Linked DNA regions of Arabidopsis thaliana. The protein of the gene in region 2 interacts with the protein of the main gene of each other region in a pairwise test. Each region holds a gene or a part of one and is shown on either strand. Other genes may lie near its edges. The genes, in order: GF14 PHI, BASS2 and TBL36.

The links.
Region 1: the proteins of BASS2 (region 2) and GF14 PHI interact in a protein complementation assay, tested with the Arabidopsis thaliana proteins (one large-scale study listed by BioGRID).
Region 3: the proteins of BASS2 (region 2) and TBL36 interact in a protein complementation assay, tested with the Arabidopsis thaliana proteins (one large-scale study listed by BioGRID).

What each region holds. Positions count from the first base shown.
Region 1 is NC_003070.9:12,864,248-12,870,729, forward strand, and holds GF14 PHI (GF14 protein phi chain), read left to right. Parts: upstream 1-2,878; 5' UTR 2,879-3,016; coding exon 3,017-3,511; intron 3,512-3,601; coding exon 3,602-3,724; intron 3,725-3,808; coding exon 3,809-3,925; intron 3,926-4,114; coding exon 4,115-4,267; 3' UTR 4,268-4,643; downstream 4,644-6,482. Other genes in the region: AT1G35150 (General transcription factor 2-related zinc finger protein), read right to left, coding at 1-6, 79-240, 312-460, 856-1,562, 1,726-1,991. UniProt on the Arabidopsis thaliana protein: Is associated with a DNA binding complex that binds to the G box, a well-characterized cis-acting DNA regulatory element found in plant genes.
Region 2 is NC_003071.7:11,475,237-11,481,718, forward strand, and holds the start of BASS2 (Sodium Bile acid symporter family), read right to left. Parts: upstream 2,907-6,482; 5' UTR 2,635-2,906; coding exon 2,532-2,634; intron 2,459-2,531; coding exon 2,356-2,458; intron 2,286-2,355; coding exon 2,168-2,285; intron 2,075-2,167; coding exon 2,033-2,074; intron 1,951-2,032; coding exon 1,837-1,950; intron 1,755-1,836; coding exon 1,692-1,754; intron 1,274-1,691; coding exon 1,146-1,273; intron 1,056-1,145; coding exon 974-1,055; intron 742-973; coding exon 690-741; intron 603-689; coding exon 505-602; intron 415-504; coding exon 256-414; intron 165-255; coding exon 75-164; intron 1-74. Other genes in the region: ABCG32 (pleiotropic drug resistance 4), read left to right, coding at 6,387-6,482.
Region 3 is NC_003074.8:20,082,146-20,088,627, reverse strand, and holds TBL36 (TRICHOME BIREFRINGENCE-LIKE 36), read left to right. Parts: upstream 1-1,660; 5' UTR 1,661-1,882; coding exon 1,883-2,193; intron 2,194-2,379; coding exon 2,380-2,551; intron 2,552-2,636; coding exon 2,637-2,818; intron 2,819-2,975; coding exon 2,976-3,125; intron 3,126-3,206; coding exon 3,207-3,531; 3' UTR 3,532-3,657; downstream 3,658-6,482. Other genes in the region: AT3G54270 (sucrose-6F-phosphate phosphohydrolase family protein), read left to right, coding at 1-100, 183-473, 627-813, 977-1,023, 1,120-1,209; AT3G54250 (GHMP kinase family protein), read left to right, coding at 3,940-4,149, 4,254-4,452, 4,536-4,599, 4,760-4,904, 5,170-5,256, 5,335-5,492, 5,592-5,640, 5,709-5,833 and 1 more. UniProt on the Arabidopsis thaliana protein: May act as a bridging protein that binds pectin and other cell wall polysaccharides. Probably involved in maintaining esterification of pectins. May be involved in the specific O-acetylation of cell wall polymers.

The DNA.
Region 1 (6,482 bases), on a different chromosome or scaffold from region 2:
CAATTTCTTTAAATCAAACAGAAATCCAAAAGTTTGTTCGTACCTTTGGAATTGCTCAAATCTTGACTAAAGAGAAACTAGAGCTTGATCTATGAGTGTGAAGAAGTAATTAATTCTGAAATCCTCCTCTGGTGACAAGTCCATATTCTCATCTCCTTTTTCTGAAACTTCATCAAAATGCTTCTTTCTTCGAATGGTCCTCTTCTTCTTTACAAGAAATTCAGCTTCTATATCCATATCCTCTGCAAGTCATACAACCTCAAACTTTCAATCTCAAATCTTGTCTCTCTATATTTTTGAAGATATGAAACGAGTCCTTTTAGTTCGATAATAGCAACATCAATATCAATGTCAGCCGATTGTAAAGTCTTGCTCACTCGGTTGACAACAGCTAGAAGATCATACCAAAGAATCATACCAAAAAGAATCTCAAACACTCCAATACCATGTGTTTCACTCTCTGCAAGGCATTCACATCACTTCGTGTTTTTGGATCGTCGGTCTTTTCTGCCAAATAAAGTAAAGCATCTCTGATTTCAAGAGTTTGAAAACGTATGGCTTTGACACCTTCGAGATGACTCTCTCAACAAATTTGAGATGAAGATTTAAGTGTTGGACCTTTTACCATCTCTTTAAATATATCCCACCTGTTTGTTGAAGATACAAACAAACAGTATACTCGCTGTAAACTCCCAAAAAAAGACATTGCCTTTGTCGAAGAAGATGTTATATCGCAAAGCACAAGGTTGAGGCTATGAAAACCACATGGTGTGTAGAATGCTCTTGGATTAATTTCCAACAATCTTCTTTGTACTCCTTTGTTTTTTCCTTTCATATTAGATTCGTTGTCATAACCTTGTCCTCTCACATCATCAATCTCTAACTCCATATCAACTAATGCTTCTTTAATCTTAGAGAATAACCCTTCACTTGATTTATCTTTCACTTCCAAAAATGTCAAATAAAACTCTTCAACCTTCGTTAACGTTGAAGAAATATTCACACATCGAATGATCATAGTCATCTGTTCTTTATGACTAATATCCGGAGTACAATCAAGAATTATGGAACAGTACTTTGAAGCATGTATTGTCTTCATGATCATAAGTCTAATCTCACCGGTCAAGATACCTATTAGCTCATTTTGAATCTTGTGACTTAAATAATGAGAATATATCTCAGCTGCACCAATTCTTCTGATATGCTCTCTCATTACGACATCAAATTCTGCAATCATTTCAATAAAACTCAAAAAATTCCCATTTCTGTCTTGGCCAACCTTTTCATTTTTTCCACGAAATGCTAAATTATTTTTAGCGTGAGTTTTCACCAATGCAATGATCCTTAGGAGTACTTCCCTCCAATGAATATTATCTTTGTTTATTGCTTCTTGGGCATGCTTATCAATCGTTTTATTTTTCTGTAGTCTAGACTCTAACTCAGCTCGACGAGTCATACAAGTAATGTGATCATGGCTGCCTTTGTGTTCTTTGAGTCGCTTTGAAAGATTTCTCCAATCATTGTACCCGCTAGTTGCCAAGTAACCACCTTTTTTGTCATGTCTCAACAACTTACAACAAAAACAAAAGACTTTAATCTAATGCTTTTGAGTAAATCAACCATCTTCTATCTTGTTTCTCCCCATTCCTCATTTCTCTTATGTAAAATGTTTGAGAAAAATGCCTACCAATACTATCTTTACGAAACCGGTAATTAGTTGATAACCTTGTCGCTAGACCCTTTTCAACTAATAAATCTCTGAATCTCATATTCATGTCATCCCAATTTACTGGATCGGAAATATTGGAAGGAAGTTCTTCTTTCTGCCCACTTTTCTTCTCTTCATGAACAACTTCATCTTGATCTTTGTTATCAAACTCATTCTCATCCACTTCATTCGTCATCCAAACTGTCCACATTATTGTTGTTATCAAGCATCTGCTTGGAGGAGCCAATGTAGGCATGTGCTCTCTCTTCTTGTTATCAAGCATCTGCTTGTGATATTTTTGTACAATTAAGCTAACATAACTTTAACAAAAAAAATCTGTAATAATAAGTTTATATGTACAATCTAATTCCAACAAATCAAATACTAAACTAAATATCATTGATCAACTAATTTTTTTATTTCCTAAGAACATATCTCTTTAAAAGAATTGTTTGAAGTTTCTTCCATTAGAATAAGTCTTGTGAAAATTTTATTTATTACATCATTAAGTAAAACTTCTTTTAAATTAATAGGTTAAACAGTCTATATATATTTAGTTTTTTTTTTTGAAAAATAAAATAAATTGCATAAAATAAATTGGCACTAATTTTAAAATAAAACGTTCTAAAGATATTTTTTATACAATATATAATAATTAATAACCTAACAATTTCTTTCTTTTTTAACAAAACAATTTCAAAATTCAACTTAAAAAAAAAATTGCTCAATCAACAGAAATTACAAAATGCCAATATGGACGTAAAAGGTCCATTAAGGAATCAAAATACAACAAAGTAACTTTTTCCACATAAAAATAAACTAAGGGCATCTCCAACGCACAGATACAGTATGAGTTTCTCAATTCTATTTTTTTAATCAGTTAATAATAAATATATTATTTATTTAAATTTTATATTATAAAGACAAAATCTGACCAATCATAAATAACAAGGGGTTGAGTTGGGTTTCTCATAGTTTCTCATATGAGAAACGTTTCTCTTTCTTTCTCCACCTTTTTCATTACTTTTTATTTTTTTAATCTCCAGATACTCATTAAAAAACTGCTGTTGGAGATGACCTAAAAACCGACCCAAAAAGTATCAGAAAATTCCCGTGTACAAAATTTAATCCAACGGTCCTCCTTCCATCTCCTTTCGCAATCGTCGCTCCCCACTCAAACAAAAACCAAAAAAAACAAAACTATCTTTTAAACCCCAACAAAAAAAAAATTGAAATTCGAAAACAGAACAAAAAAAAAAATCTCTCTCAATCTCTCTCAGATCTGAATCCATCCATCACCGATCTCTAATGGCGGCACCACCAGCATCATCCTCGGCGAGGGAAGAGTTCGTGTACCTCGCAAAGCTCGCAGAGCAAGCGGAACGTTACGAAGAAATGGTTGAATTCATGGAAAAAGTCGCTGAAGCCGTTGACAAAGACGAACTCACCGTCGAAGAACGTAATCTCCTCTCCGTCGCTTACAAAAACGTAATCGGCGCTCGTCGTGCTTCCTGGAGAATCATCTCTTCCATTGAACAAAAAGAAGAGAGTCGTGGTAACGATGACCATGTGACCACGATCCGTGATTACAGAAGCAAGATCGAATCTGAGTTATCGAAAATCTGTGACGGTATTCTTAAGCTTCTTGATACTAGACTTGTTCCTGCTTCTGCTAATGGAGATTCTAAGGTTTTTTACCTTAAGATGAAGGGAGATTATCATAGGTATTTGGCTGAGTTTAAGACTGGTCAAGAGAGGAAAGATGCTGCTGAACATACTCTCACCGCTTACAAAGCTGCTCAGGTTTATTCTCCGATCTGGAATTTTGTTGGATCTCATTTCTAGGTTAAATCATGATTTGTGTGAATCTGTGTTTCTTTTGTTTGTTTGTAGGATATTGCTAATGCTGAATTGGCTCCAACGCATCCGATTCGTCTTGGTTTGGCTTTGAATTTCTCTGTGTTTTACTATGAGATTCTTAATTCTCCAGATCGTGCTTGTAATCTCGCTAAGCAGGTGATGAGAAAGTTTCTGATCTATTTGGGATTTGAGTCATTGTGTTGGTACTACTCTATGTGTATTGATATTGAGATATAACAGGCGTTTGATGAAGCCATTGCTGAGTTAGATACTCTTGGAGAGGAGTCATACAAGGATAGTACCTTGATCATGCAGCTTCTTCGTGACAATCTTACTCTCTGGACTTCTGACATGCAGGTAAACGATCGAAACGAAACCGTTCTTTGCTTCATCGAAACTGCTGATAATGGTTATGATAGAATAGTTTTGGAATTGTCCACCAACATAGTTCATTGCTGATAATGGATATGATAGATAGGCTTAGTGGCTCATGATGCTGGAATTGTGCACACACATTGTTCATAAGCTTTGAATCAGATGGTTTAGTTTTGCATTATGTATGATAATACTCTCATGAGCTTCTTGGTCTTGATCTCTGATTCTGTTGTGTTAATTTCGACGATTAATCAGGACGAAAGTCCGGAGGAGATTAAAGAAGCAGCAGCACCAAAGCCTGCTGAAGAACAGAAGGAGATCTAAGTTTGTGGTTTCTTTTTTCAGTATTCTTAAGTTATGCAATTATAATTATGTTTCTGCTTGGTGTTTATTTTCTAATCTTTCCTTTGCTATCCCCGAAGCTTCTAAGGCCGTCTAATTCTTGTCCTTTGTTTGCTTTTCTCAATCGTGGATGCTACTGGATTTCTGTTTTGTTTTACTTCTTCTCTTGATTGATTGCATTTCCCGGCTTATGCCTTGTACTTGAAACTCAGTTTTCTCTCTTATTAATGATTTGCCATTCACCTGGTTATGCGTTTTTGTATACATGTGACTGCGTTTGCAATTGTGTTTTCTGAGTTTGCTTAGGTTATGCACACACAATTTACGCTGTTTGAGAATGAGCGCTTGCTAATACTGATACAGATTATTACAGGAAACACTGACCTCAAAATTTGCGTGAATTTCGATGAGATTTGCGTAGGAATAACAAGTGTTGGGCATATAGGTTTGAATCAAATGGGACTTACCAAAGTTTGTATCAACCTCGTTCACCAGTTATTGTTTTGCAGACCTCAACCAAAAGTTAACATGAACGAGGTCAATACCTCTCAAAAGCTGATTAATTGATAGCATCACTCATAGTAAGGTAGAGATTAATGTTCAAGAAAACGTTAGGCGTTAATTGGGCGGTAACCCAATGCAACGCTTCATCGGGTCTAAACAGTTTTAGGCGGTTAAAGCGTTTATAGTATAAAATATTATAAATATGTTATTATATGTAAAAGTTATTTAAAACATAAATTAAAAAATAAAAATCTTAAATTTACAAAACAAAAAATAGATAAAACGTACATTAATTCATATCAAACAACATTTGAACATTAAACTATATATATGAAGACAAAATTTAACAAATTTGAATTTGAGTAATTAAAATTTGGAAAAAAATATTAAAACGAAGCATATATAATCTTAGGCGGTCGAAACTGTCGTTTAGGCGTCATGTGAAAACCTAACATTCGATCTCTACGTTTTCACGTCCGCGGGTTACTCTAGAATAATTTGAAATGAGTTTATAGATCCATGTAGAACCCAAATAAGTTTGTGATCTTCCTAAATGAATGGCACATGAAAATATGCCAGACAACAATTTTTTTGACAGAAGATCTTAAGCTCATAAGATGTAAACTTCAACGAGCCATCTCAAGTAACCATAGATAGCTGTCATGGATTGAACATTAATGTAAATTATTTATTTGCAATAACATTTTTAATATCAAATTTTTATGATTGTGTCCCTAATTTGAATACCGTCTAGATCCGCCAATAAGCAAGACTTGGTAAGGTTGACTTGAAGAAATTTTACGAGATTTCTTTCCACTATTATTCTTTACATTCTTGTTATAATGGTTTTTCTACCTTTTTTTAGTTTACTTGTGATTTTTGACAAATAAAGCTGTTACTTTGGCTAAAGATTCCATTGATTAGTTGTTTTTTTTTTACTTTCCTTGTTCCTTTTTTTTTGAATTCAAAATTTTATCTCAAAACAAATCCTATATATATATATTAATAATAGGAGAAAATGTCATTTAAATCATCAATTATCTTTGACAAAAAAAATGATCAATTATCAATTTTTGTTAATTTAAAGCATAGTCTACGTACCTCATAATTAAAATGCTCAATTTTTTGTTGACTTTTAATTTAATCGCAAATTTTTGTTGACAAAGCCAATTGAGCCACATCGTAAACTAGCTAAACGGAACAATTAGATGTTGTTATGTGTCTGTTAATGAGTCTATTAATTAGCTAAACAACGGTGTTTTCAATCATAAGAAAACTCCTAGATCGATTAATCGAGGAGAGTTTCTTTTAGTAAAAACGGCGTTGTTTAGATGAAAACAACTTCGTTTAGCTATTTAACATACACATAACAGTGTCTGATTGCTCCGTCTAGTTAGTTAATGATGCGTTTTAATTGGCTTTATCAACAAAAATATTTGTAACTAGATTGAAAGTCAACAAAAAAAAGAGAGCATTTTATTCACTAAGTACTCATACTTTAAATCAACAAAAATGTAAATGACATATTCCTATAAAAATATATATCCGTTTGGAATGCTCACTAACCAATAACCTCTATCAGACAAAATTTTATAGATTTTCATATCGTTTATTTTCTTTTAGATTAAGTCGACATTTTGGATTCCTTACATATAATTTACATATAGAAAAGCACATGAGTCATAATATTTGG
Region 2 (6,482 bases):
CAGAATGCCATTGAACATAATTAAACTTAAGGAATTTGCATGTGAACTTTAGTGAAATGGCTATGAAAACTTACCGCCATACAGACAACACTGACTGCAGAAGGAACAGCAACTAGAGGGTTTGTGAAATGCTTTTGTGCAAGCAAGAACCCGAGCGCTGAACTCTGCGGTTTGCAAAGTACACAGATTTTCAAAAAGAAGCCTTAGTAAAGCAAACGGCAATGTATATCTACGGTATAGGAGAAAGTAACTTACTTGCATTCCACATTCTATAGAAATGGTACGCGAAGTGGACTCGCCGAAAGAAAACTTTGAAATCCAATAGCCAATAGCAAAGGCTGCAGCATGAAGGAGTGCCACCGGGAGTATAAGTTGAGCTCCTTGGGTTTTCAAAACATCTGCAACTTGTCCAATCTTTTCAGAAGAGATAAGGTAGTAATCAATACCAATTCCAGTCTCAAAATTCAATAAAAAAAATATATATATCTGGATATATGAACTTACAGGGCTGGCACAGAGCAGAGTAGTCAGAATGACTCCGATTAGAGGCGTCACTGTTATGATCTTAGACGTAAATTTAGGAAAGAACTCATTTGCCAGAACTGCACACAATGCAGAAAAAGACATTAGTCCCTAAGGATATATAAGCACAAATTCATTTTTCCGGAAACACGTAGCACCATACTTACCTCCAATTATGGTAGGAACCAACACTACTTGGAACGTACTAAGAGCAAGTCCCTGACGTAAAAAAATGGATCCATAAGCTTTCGTTGTGGAGGGCTGCAACTATATTCTAATAGAGTTCTTGCGCTTCATTCTACTTTAAATCATTCAATAACTTTTACTGAACCATGATTATTCATATTTTAGCTAAGTGAAATGTATCTTATATTTCATACATAAAAAGAAATGTATCTTATCAATGCAATTTTGAATGAAACGATTCAAAATAGTTATAGAGAAAACTCACAGCAGCGTCAACGGGAACAAGCTGACCAGCAAGAAGCTTAGTAAGAAGAGGAGTCATTATAATAGCCCCAATGGTTGAACACCTAATAAATTAAAGAACAGATAATGTATATGAAATCTGACCAATAAAATTAAAGAACGAAAAGAGAAAGAAGTGAAAATAGAAGGATTACGTTGTCATGAGTACAGAGAGCGCTACATTCCCCTTGGAAATGTAAGTAGCAACGTTTGACGCCTGTCCTCCAGGGCAGCATGAGACTAGGATAAGGCCAGTCGCAAGAGGTGCCGAAAGCTTAAGAGTCTAAAATAAAACACACAGAAAAAGTTTGTATTAGTTGGCTGCTCAACAATTAATGTTAACCAAATGTAGTGTTTCCAAATGCACATAGCATATGTCCATATCAATCCTCTCTACAAGAGAAATCCCTCAAGGAGTAAGTGAGTATGCCAGGAATTGTTTCTACAGTAACTAGAAAGCAAATATTTGATTCAAACGTTTCAAGAAAAAGTGATGTTTGGACATGCAACGACTCTTGGATCTAAGTTAATCAAAGAAAGAATATTCCAATCAACATTTGATTTGGCTAAAGCGTATACAGCCCATAGAAGTAAAAACGGACGAAGAGAACCAATATCTTAAACAAAATAGAATATTGCATAAGCATCCATTTCAGAGAAGCAAATAGAAGTAAATGTGATAGACATTAGTGGAAACATACCATTGCAATGAGAAAACCTAGAATTGGCTTGATCATATATTGAGCAAGAAAACCAACACCCACCTGCAGGAGAAAGACTCTAAACGTTAAACAGGTACTGTATCTAACAGATAGAAAAAACACACCAGTGTTCATTGGCTCTCACCGTCCATGGATTACGTAAACATCTTCTGAAATCTTCAAACGTAAGAGTCAAACCCATGGAAAGCATAAGAAATCCAAGACCTAGAGTAAAGAGATCTGTTTCCAACCATGTAACCTACAAAACTTAAATCTATAAGCCCCAAAAACATAGATTGCTACAGTAAATAAACAATAACAAAGAAGCATAAAAAGCATACCAAGGATGGCTTGAAGATGCCAACAAGTGTTCCCAAAATAACCTGCACAACAAACAAAAACCACATTGCTCCATATCAGTTATCAAACTCACAAAAAGTTTCAAACTTCATCAAAGAAAGGTATAGCATAAGTACCCAAAGTGGAAAAAGGGTTGTCAAAAGCTCAATAATCTTCTCATACTGACTAAGTTCCTTAGGAGTACTCTCAGGTAAGTCACCTGACACACCAGCAGCAGCTTTGCAAACAACCCTCCTGTAAAAATTACAATTTTTAATAAACCCAAATCCTTAAACTTGTTTACACATTCACCAAATTACAATACCTGGAGGAAGTTGCTTCAAGAGCAAAGACAGGGCTAATAGGTTTACTATTCTGAATCCTCAAACTTATCCCAGAGTTACTAACAGAAACTAACTTGGGAAAATCTGAAGAAAAATATATGATTCAGCAAATTGACTCTTAGAAATCTGAAACCAGAGAAGTATAAAGGATAGATACCTAAGTGAGTTTGAGTTCTGGTTGTAGAAGGAACCCACGAGGTGTTGATTCTGCATTGACTTAATCTGCCATCTGTTGGTAAGATTCTGGAAATGGAAGCCATGTTTTGATCAAAAGGGTTTTAGGATGTTGGTGAATCAGAGAAGATGAGTTAGTGACATCTCCAAATGAGGAGGAGACAAAGGGTTTTGTGGAGTGTTGTGAAAGAGAGGAGAGCCACACATTCTTCATCTGCCCCTTTCATCAACAATCCTATCTGGAAAATATCTACTTAACATTTTTGGATCGATTCTACTACAACTACGTCGATGTGTGTGTGTTTTTTTTTTTTTTTCCTGTCGTCATTTCCGATGTGTTTTCGAACAGAACCTAATTGAGATTTGAGTGTTCGGTTAACCAGTCGATTAATAGAAGTGGTCCGATCGGTAACTTTTCCTATTGGTTAGGTACGGTTAATCGAACAATCTTTTAACCATTTTTTCTAATTTTTTAAACTAATATAAACAAATCATATCCAATTTTATAAACTAATACCAAAATTCTTTAAAATTGCTATACAAACCAAATTTTTGTATGGATTTGAGACACATTACCGAACTGAGTTAACTGATAACTGAACCGATCCAAACCGAATTTTTGTTCGGTTAAATTTGGCAGTCTTATCTCCTAACTAGATACTCGAAAAACCAATTATCCAAACCGAACGGTTCGGTTCGCTCAAAAGTCGTATGCCTAAGTTTCACATGTATTAATCAATCATATCTATTGAATTTTTTTTGTTTACAGTCTGATTGTATTGTTAAACAAGATTGTATATTTTTATACATTTTAGTTTATATATGGATAAGATGCACATATTCACTATGGTTCATACCACAGAAATTCTATATTTGAAAACTGTGCTGCAAAAACATATTTATTGATGTTGGAAAAGTCAATCAAGATGTAGAAATATGCTGAAAATATGGTCTATTTCCACCAAATGATTTGCCTCTATTTTTACTGTGAAAATAGCTTTATTAGTTAGATAAACTCATAAAATCAAGACAATCACATGATGAAGTATTGATTTAACACATTTTGAAACACTACACGTTAATTTATTCGACTGAACAAATACAAAGTTTTCATTAAATGTGAGTGCTGAGTTCTGTGACAGTTTGTTTGAATTTTCTGGATAATGATTAGCACCATGCCCCAGCCAAGAAACCCCCATACTTTGTTTGTAACCATTAATATTAATATTTTGGTTGGCGACAGACAAATCTTTGGCCGACGAAGCTGATTTTCACTCTTTCACTGCCAAATTTTGTATGTTTCATCGACATTTTTACATTTGAAAATCTTATGTTTTTGGTTTTGTTGGGGGATATGCATAAATTTCTTAAGAGATAAATAATAAGTAGAATCGTCGAGAGATGTATAATCTAGTTTATGTTTCTTGGCCTCTACTCTACTTTTCTTTCTTTGCATTCTCTTTAAATTCCCATTCTTCGTTTATTTAAAGATGCATGTTCGAATCTTCTCTACTTCTACAAACTAAATGGAATGACATAAGGTTATGTCTCTCTATGAATATTGTTGGATATAAACAAGTTGAACTACAATGATTCAACGCAGGTTGTTCAACACTCACTCTCTCAGCTTTGGCATCTTAAGACACTTTTACGATATATCCACTCCTAGTTTTTAGGAAAAGAACAAGACTGTCACATCTTTCAAAAGTCATCAACCCGCAACCAAACTTTTATTTCATTTGTCTCGTTAGATTAGATGCTTGATGAATTGAGTCTCAATACCTCCTAAAGTGAAGAAAGGTCTCGGGAGGAAACAAAATGACCTTAAGATATTAGATTTTTGGTTGGAAATTTGGAATGTTAAATTTTATTCAACAAAAAATTATCTACATAGTTTGAAAGGAGATTACAACAAGAGAGGACCAATGAAATAAAAGCATTAATAGAATGCTAGCTTAAAATTCAAAGAAATAGATCAGCTATGATCGGCCATGAAACCAAAGAGAATGGATCCGATGGCTAGTCATCAATCTCTTAATGTTAACAAAGAGTAGATCTGATTTTGATCAAAACAGGCCAGACCCGTACTTCGTCATCGTATATCATTATTTTTTATTTTCTGTTTCTTGAAAACAAAAAGAAAAAACTATTTGTAATCACATAACAATTTGTTGAAAGACAAAAAAAAAGAGAGAGAGAGACTAATATCTACTTGTATACTGTTATTTTTTTTTACCATTTCTATTAATTATTTTGTTATTATTCGTTAAAAACTTTATCTATCTTTTATGACCAATAATGATGCATAATTTATTCTAACCAATAACCACTAAACATGTTAGAATTGACTTCATACTTCCATTAATACATGAGTTGAAAATTCTAATCCTAAAATGAAAATGATAGAACCAGACCAGACCAAATTGACTCAAAAGATTCCAGCTCATCTTGATATTTCTAGATTACAAGTCACTCTAAATACATGTTTGAAATGTTCGAAAAAAAACATTGCTATAATTAATTAAAAAACAGTAGAAGGAAAAATTCGGTGAGAAGAAAGTAGAATGTTGCTAGAATCAATAAATTAATCAAAATAGGTACAGTATATAATAGACTAGTATCCCTCTAATCTAACGGTCCATTTATACCTGTCCCCATTACACATGTCAAAGATAATAATACAAAACAAGTATGTAAATTGTAGGTATTTATTAGTTGTGAGAATGACTATTTTATTCTACTCTTTTTCTTTTGGAAAAATCTAACGTGGACATCCGATAATCGACTTGGCTCAGATCGATTTTGAGTAAATTGTTTTAAGGGGTTTAGAATTCATATAGAACCAAAAAACATGCGGTTCGGATCGGTAGTTATTTTACGGTTTGACTATGTTCGGTTATCTCTCAGTTCGGACCGACATATAACCAAATTTTATTGGGTTCGGTTTGAATTAAATATTTGTACATAAACTATGTGGAAAAAAGAACTAAATAATTTGTTCAATCTAATGAATTAGTTTGCAAAAAATATTTACTCTAGACACATATAAGTATGTACATTCATATATTTTAGTTATTTTGAGCCTAATCATAACTAAATTTTCTGGTTTATAAATATAGTTTTGAATATTTGGATTATCTCAAACATAAATATAATTAACATTTTCTGATTTTTATGACATTGACTAATATTTTCTGATATTAAGATATTGATCTCCTTAAATTGTTTTTATCATTCTTTAAAGTTCATTATCTTGTTTGGTTCCAATTTCTTGTACATAAACCATAAATTTGAAATTTCAATTAGAAAAATAATTTCCTTTTATGAGATACAATCATACAATTGTATTTCAAGTAGTTCGAATACTCATTCCGTTTTCGGTTTAGTTCCAAGTTGTTATAAAAGATGAACTACACTATTTGGATGTTTATGATTATCTGGTTCGGTTCGGTATCTCTTAATTCGGTTATTTCGGTTTTAGTAATCCACATAAAACAGACTATAATCTCTTGCATTATATCCACATAGACCTAAATAATAAACAATTTGTTTCTTCCCGCTAAGTGATTATTAATGAGCCTCCCTTCTTCTCAACTGTTATTTCACTTTAACGTACAAAAAAAAACACACACAGAGAGAAAGAGAGAGAGAAAAGTTTCCGCATTAATGGTGGCTTCACCTACCAGTTGTCTAGTGGTGAGAGATTAATGTGACGACGACGACGACACAGAACAAGAGATAGAGGGAGAACAAACCAAAACCAAATCTACACTGCAATCTCTTCCCTCATCTTCTCCAATTATCATCTCTCTCTGATTCTGTTGCGCCGCCGCGGAGAATGTGGAACTCGGCGGAGAACGCATTCTCGCGTTCGACGTCGTTTAAAGACGAAATCGAAGACGAAGAAGAGCTTCGTTGGGCAGCTTTACAACGT
Region 3 (6,482 bases), on a different chromosome or scaffold from region 2:
GTTGGATATTGAAGGCAAGCAGCCTTCTAACACACTTGTTTGTGGTGACTCTGGAAATGATGCTGAGCTTTTCAACATTTCTGACGTATATGGCGTAATGGTTAGTTCCCAACTACTTTTTTTTAGGTTCGATCATACTTGACTACGCGTGAGTGATTGTGCTTATATTTTTACTGTTTAAGGTTAGCAATTCGCATGAAGAATTATTGCAATGGTATGAAGAAAATGCAAAGGACAACCCAAAAATATTTCATGCGTCTGAGAGGTGTGGAGCTGGTATGATAGAAGCTATTCAGAGGTTTAATTTGGGACCAAATGTCTCTCCTAGAGATGTTATGGACACTGAAAATTTCCATGGGGAAAGTTTGAATCCTGCTCATGAGGTTGTTCAGTTTTATTTGTTTTATGAGAGATGGCGTTGTGGAGAGGTGGAAAAGTCTGACAAGTACTTGCAGAATTTGAAATCGCTCTCTGTAAGTGTGTTTATTTGACAAAAAAAAGCTCTCTAGCATCTAACGTAATGGAAATTCAAGTGCTCAAATTGATAATTTTGAAGATGTTCTTGATTGCTTGTGTTGTGTAGACTTATTAGTTGACGTAATTGTTATGCTTTTGCAATGTTTCAGAGTCCACTTGGTATTTTTGTTCATCCGTCTGGAGTGGAGAAACCGATACATGAATGGATAGATGAGATGGAAAATTTATACGGTGATGGGAAGGAAAAGAAGTTTCGCATTTGGTTGGATAATGTTACGTCTTCTCATATCAGTTCAGATACATGGCTTGCAAAATTTGTAAAGCATGAGTTATCTGGTAAGAAATCTTGTTCTTCAATTACATGGCTTATACTTGTGACTTATCGAGCTAGGAAATGATTTAGCAGAAAATACGATCAACTGATTTGTTTGATTTCTCATCATAAGGGTATACTGTAGAAGTTTGCTTCCATGTTCTAATGTCTAGCTCGTGTTTACAGAGGGAAAAGTACGGTCTTGTTCAACAAAAGTCTTACTGAGTTATAAGGTAAACCTTGATTTATGATCCTTTTAAGATTTCAAACGATTAGATTGGTTAAATAATATTGGAAAAAAATAACTGAAAATGGGTTAAAATTGAAAGGAGGAAAAGCAAAGGCTGACGTGGATGCACATCCACCAATCATGGTTAGATGAATCTTCTTCAGATGATCAAGAAAAATGGATTTTCTAAAGGATTATCTTAATCTCGACTGACATACTAAAGATGACATCTGTTTGGGACAGAAGCTAACCAAAGAGCATAGTGTTTGTTTTGTGTTATGTTTGTTTGGGGATGGTGTGAGTTTGATAAAGCATGAAGGATACTAAAAGCTGAAGAAGGTGTTGCCATGTCTTGGTTTCGTTTCATTAATACTTTTTTACATATTTGGGTTAACTTAAAACTATTAATAAGGAAGGTTGGGTCCTGAATTTGGTCTGTTCATGACCTTTTGAGGGCAGGGAGAGTTTTGGGTCTCTACAACAAAACCTACATTTCTTTAGTCTTACAAAACCTACCATTGTGTTTGATTTGCAATTCTTTTTTCTGGTTTATATGGATTGTTTTCTACTATTTCTGTTTGTTTTTGTTGAGAAACTATTTCGATTTTTTAAACCATATACAAAACGCTCCACCAAACTCACAAATCCCGCCTTGGATACTGTAATCTGTTTTTATAAAAAAATGATATGATGGAGAGAAGAGGAGACGCAAGTCACGGGACATGATTTCAAGCATAAGTCTAATTACTAATTACCACCACTTTCCGTAATTAACGCCCTTTTTCACTTTATCCACTTTTTGTTGCCCATCTTCTTTATATTATTTCTTTCTCCAAGCCCACACTGCTCAGTTTCCTGGTCAAATGGCTACCTCAGAGACTCGAGTCTTGTTCTTATCTTTGTGTCTCATCCTTGGCAAAGTAGTTTTGTCTCAGTTTGATGAGTTATGGCTAGTAGGGGACGATGATCCACTCAACGCCTTGCAGACGAGGCGTGAAAGAAGAGAGGAGAGGTGTGATTACTCGGTGGGGAAATGGACGTTCGATGAAACGTATCCGCTCTATGATTCAAGCTGTCCATATCTGAGTTCTGCACTAAGTTGCCAAAGAAATGGAAGACCCGACTCTTATTACCAGAAATGGAGATGGATCCCTAAGGCTTGTTCACTACCAAGGCACACTCCACACTCCTCTTACTTCTTACATTACTTCTTTTTAAAATTTCTGTCTCATCAAGTAAAAAAGTTGGTTTATATTGGCTTTGCATGGTTAATTGCAAGATGAATAAATTGACTAATGAAAAATGGGAAAGAGACATTAATATTAACCAAAATAGTGGCTCTTTCCATGATGGTGTTTAGGTTTGACGCATTGAAATTTCTTGGGAAAATGAGAGGAAAAAGAATAATGCTGGTTGGAGATTCAATGATGAGAAACCAGTGGGAATCTCTTGTCTGCTTAGTACAGTCTGTTCTTCCCACTCATCGTAAGAAGCTCACTTACAATGGTCCTACGATGTCTTTCCATTCTCTGGTAATTAATAATCACAAATCTCCTTTTGAATCACATATACATCATTGGTTAGTAGATGCAACTATTAAATTTGGTTACTATACAGGATTTTGAGACATCAATTGAGTTTTGTTGGGCTCCTCTGCTTGTGGAACTCAAGAGAGGAGTTGACCGTAAAAGGGTGTTACATTTGGACTCAATCGAAGACAATGCTAGATATTGGCGTGGTGTAGATGTTCTTGTATTCGATTCCGCTCACTGGTGGACTCACTCTCAGAGATGGAGTTCGTAAGTCATCTGAATAAACACTTACATCTTTCCTTCAAAAGCAAATGATTAGTGTATAACGGTTCATAGACGTCTATGTTCATTGTATTTGTTATTGTGTCTCATTTTACATCAGATTTGGGATTTGTGACAGTAACGCAAGCTATTGATGTTTTAGGTGGGATTATTACATGGATGGGAATAAGATCTTCAAAGCTATGGACCCAATGGTTGCTTATGAGAGAGGACTAACCACATGGGCTAAATGGGTTGAGATAAATCTTGATCCATCCAAAACAAAAGTCATTTTCCGCACTGTCTCACCGAGGTTTTTTCTTATATTCTCCTCTTAATCTCAACATATATACAAAATGGACACCATTAATTCATGTACATAAATTCTTGGCAGAGAGAGTGGTCAGATGTGCTACAACCAGAAACATCCCTTGCCTTCTTTATCTTCTTCCACCAAACCCCACGTGCCTCAACAGTCAAGAGTGTTGAACAAAGTGCTAAGGACAATGAAATACCGAGTGTATTTATACGATATCACAACAATGTCTGCGTATAGAAGAGACGGTCATCCTTCGGTGTTCAAGAGAGCAATGCACGAGGAAGAGAAGCACCATCGTATCGCTGGACCTTCATCAGATTGCAGTCATTGGTGCTTGCCCGGTGTCCCGGATATTTGGAATGAGATGCTTTCTTCAATTATCTTAACCAATGCTGTATGAGCTATAATAAGAGTCTGTTTTTACTCATGAACAATGGTGTTACTTATATGAATCAGTGGTTTATATATTACATATCCTTTCCCAGCTAACAAATATCCCAATATCAAAGACAAGACAACTCAAAGGCCTTTAAGCATAAAGTTCATGCATCACAATGATTTTCGTGTTTTGGTTATTTCTTACCTAACTCAATTTTTTTCCTAAAACGTTTTAGGTTAAGTTTTGGTGTTTTCATCAAAATGGCAATAACCATTTGATTAGAGTTTTACAGTTAGTGAAGTTCTCAATTTTTGAATAAAATAATATTTTTAAAATTGTAAAGGCAATGAGTCATCATTATTCTGTCGTATTCTCCGTCGCTTTCATTTTCAACTACTTTGAAGCTGCAGATCTCTTTTGGAGATTCACATGGCGACGGAGAAATGGGTGTTCATGGTGACGGCGCAAACTCCGACGAACATTGCGGTGATTAAGTATTGGGGAAAGAGAGATGAGGTTCGGATTCTCCCCGTTAACGATAGCATTAGCGTAACTCTTGATCCTGATCATCTCTGCACAGTCACCACTGTTGCCGTTAGTCCTGCTTTTGATCGGGATCGAATGTGGCTCAATGGCAAGGTACACTCGCTTCATTTCCCATCACGATCTCTCTCCTTTTGCTGAGATTCCAATTATCGAATTACAAAGATTTTTGTTGTTGTTGTTGTTTCATGTTAGTGTAGGAAATATCTCTTTCTGGAAGTAGGTACCAAAATTGTTTGAGGGAAATACGAGGTCGTGCTGGTGATGTTGAAGACATGGAAAAGGGGATCAAGATAAGGAAGAAAGATTGGGAGAAATTGAATCTACATATTGCTTCTCATAATAACTTCCCTACTGCTGCTGGCTTAGCATCTTCAGCTGCTGGATTTGCTTGTCTAGGTATTCTGCTTTTTCTCTCTGTTGATGATTATGAGCTTGAGAATGGCTTGTAGTTTATGTCAAACTGTTTTTTTTGCCTACAGTTTTTTCTCTTGCAAAGTTGATGAATGTAGATGAAGATCCAAGCCATCTTTCTGCAATAGCCAGGTACCTATGTAGTGGACTTCCTTGCACTATATATCAATGCTTTGATTTATGTATAGTCATCTACTAATGCATGAGTTGTGATAGTGAAGTGAAATCTGACACTCCTCTAGGAATTAAATGGTACTGATATTCATGGTTTGATTTCTGTTTGCTCATGTAGGCAAGGTTCAGGAAGTGCTTGCCGGAGTTTATTTGGTGGATTTGTCAAGTGGACAATGGGAAGCAAAGAAGATGGAAGTGACAGCGTTGCAGTTCAACTGGCAGATGAGAAGCATTGGGATGATCTTGTTATCATCATTGCTGTGGTATGGCTCTTTTAAAAAATATTGTGACTTTTTGGCAGGATTACTCCGACTCTCCCATCTTCCAGATCATGCTGTTTTTCAAATTAACCATATGTTACTTTTACTGTCGTCATACTATTTGATTGAACGAGATATATAAATAAGTATTTCCACGACAAGATTTTGAGTTGCTCTATTTCAACGTGTGAATATAGCATTATGGACAAGTTCGAATGGTCAGAAATCTGTTAAAATTTAGTGCCTTCATTCAAACTTTTTATAACAGGTGAGTTCACGGCAGAAGGAAACGAGCAGTACCTCCGGAATGCGTGAAAGTGTTGAGACAAGTTTGCTTTTACAGCATAGAGCAAAAGTACGTTCTGTTCTTGATGTTTAATGAACTTCTGTATTACCTATTAAACTTCATCCTTTGTTTTTTCTCTATCTATAGGAAGTTGTGCCAAAACGGATTTTGCAAATGGAGGAAGCTATAAAAAATCGAGACTTTGCATCGTTTACACAATTGACATGTACAGATAGTAATCAGTTTCATGCTGTTTGTCTGGATACATCTCCACCCATATTCTACATGAATGACACTTCACACAGGTATTCTCTATTTTGACATATTTCTATATGCTGCTTCAGTTTATTTGTTATCAAACCCTTATTTATTCTAATATATCAAACTGTTATCTGCTTTTCCAGAATAATTAGCTTAGTTGAAAAGTGGAACCGTTCTGAAGGGACACCACAGGTAAAGTTCTAGTGTCTTGACTCAACCTTTTGAAAACAACTAATAACTCAAAATGTAAATCTGTACAGGTTGCTTACACATTTGATGCTGGTCCAAATGCTGTACTGATTGCACGCAACAGAAAGGTCGCAGTCCAATTGCTCCAGGGGCTTCTGTACTATTTTCCCCCTAAGTCAGACACTGATATGAAGAGGTGAGACACAGAACAATGTGTGATCCGTTTAACTGCGGTTTTCTATGAGTTTTAAAATTGACTAAAAAGCTGTTTGTAATGATTTTGGTTTCTTTATTTACCAGTTACGTAGTGGGCGATAATTCAATTCTAAAAGAAGCAGGATTAGATGGAGCAAGTGGTGTAGAGAATCTGCAACCTCCACCTGAAATTAAAGACAACATTGGATCTCAGGATCAAAAAGGAGAAGTCAGTTATTTTATCTGCACTAGACCTGGAAAAGGTCCCATCGTGCTTCACGACCAAACTCAAGCCCTTCTCGATCCTGAAACAGGCCTTCCTAAGTGAGCATTCTCTCTGCTTCAAACTAATTATTATGATTAGCATCTCCTTTAACTGCAAGTTTAAGATACGATATATGTGGCAGAATAGGTGCAGGTACGTTGTCATCTAACTATTAGCTTTCCTATTTCCAAATAAAAGAAATTCATTGGTTTTGTTTTACCAGAGAAAAATCTTTTTACTGCGCTGCAGTAAATACTTTAAAAGACGCAAAAAAATAAAATGAAATGAAATTTATTCATGAGGAACAGAGCAATACTATTTTTTTGGGGTGGAGACAAACTGTACAACTTTTTTTTTGATTATCTAAACATATGTAAAATTGAAT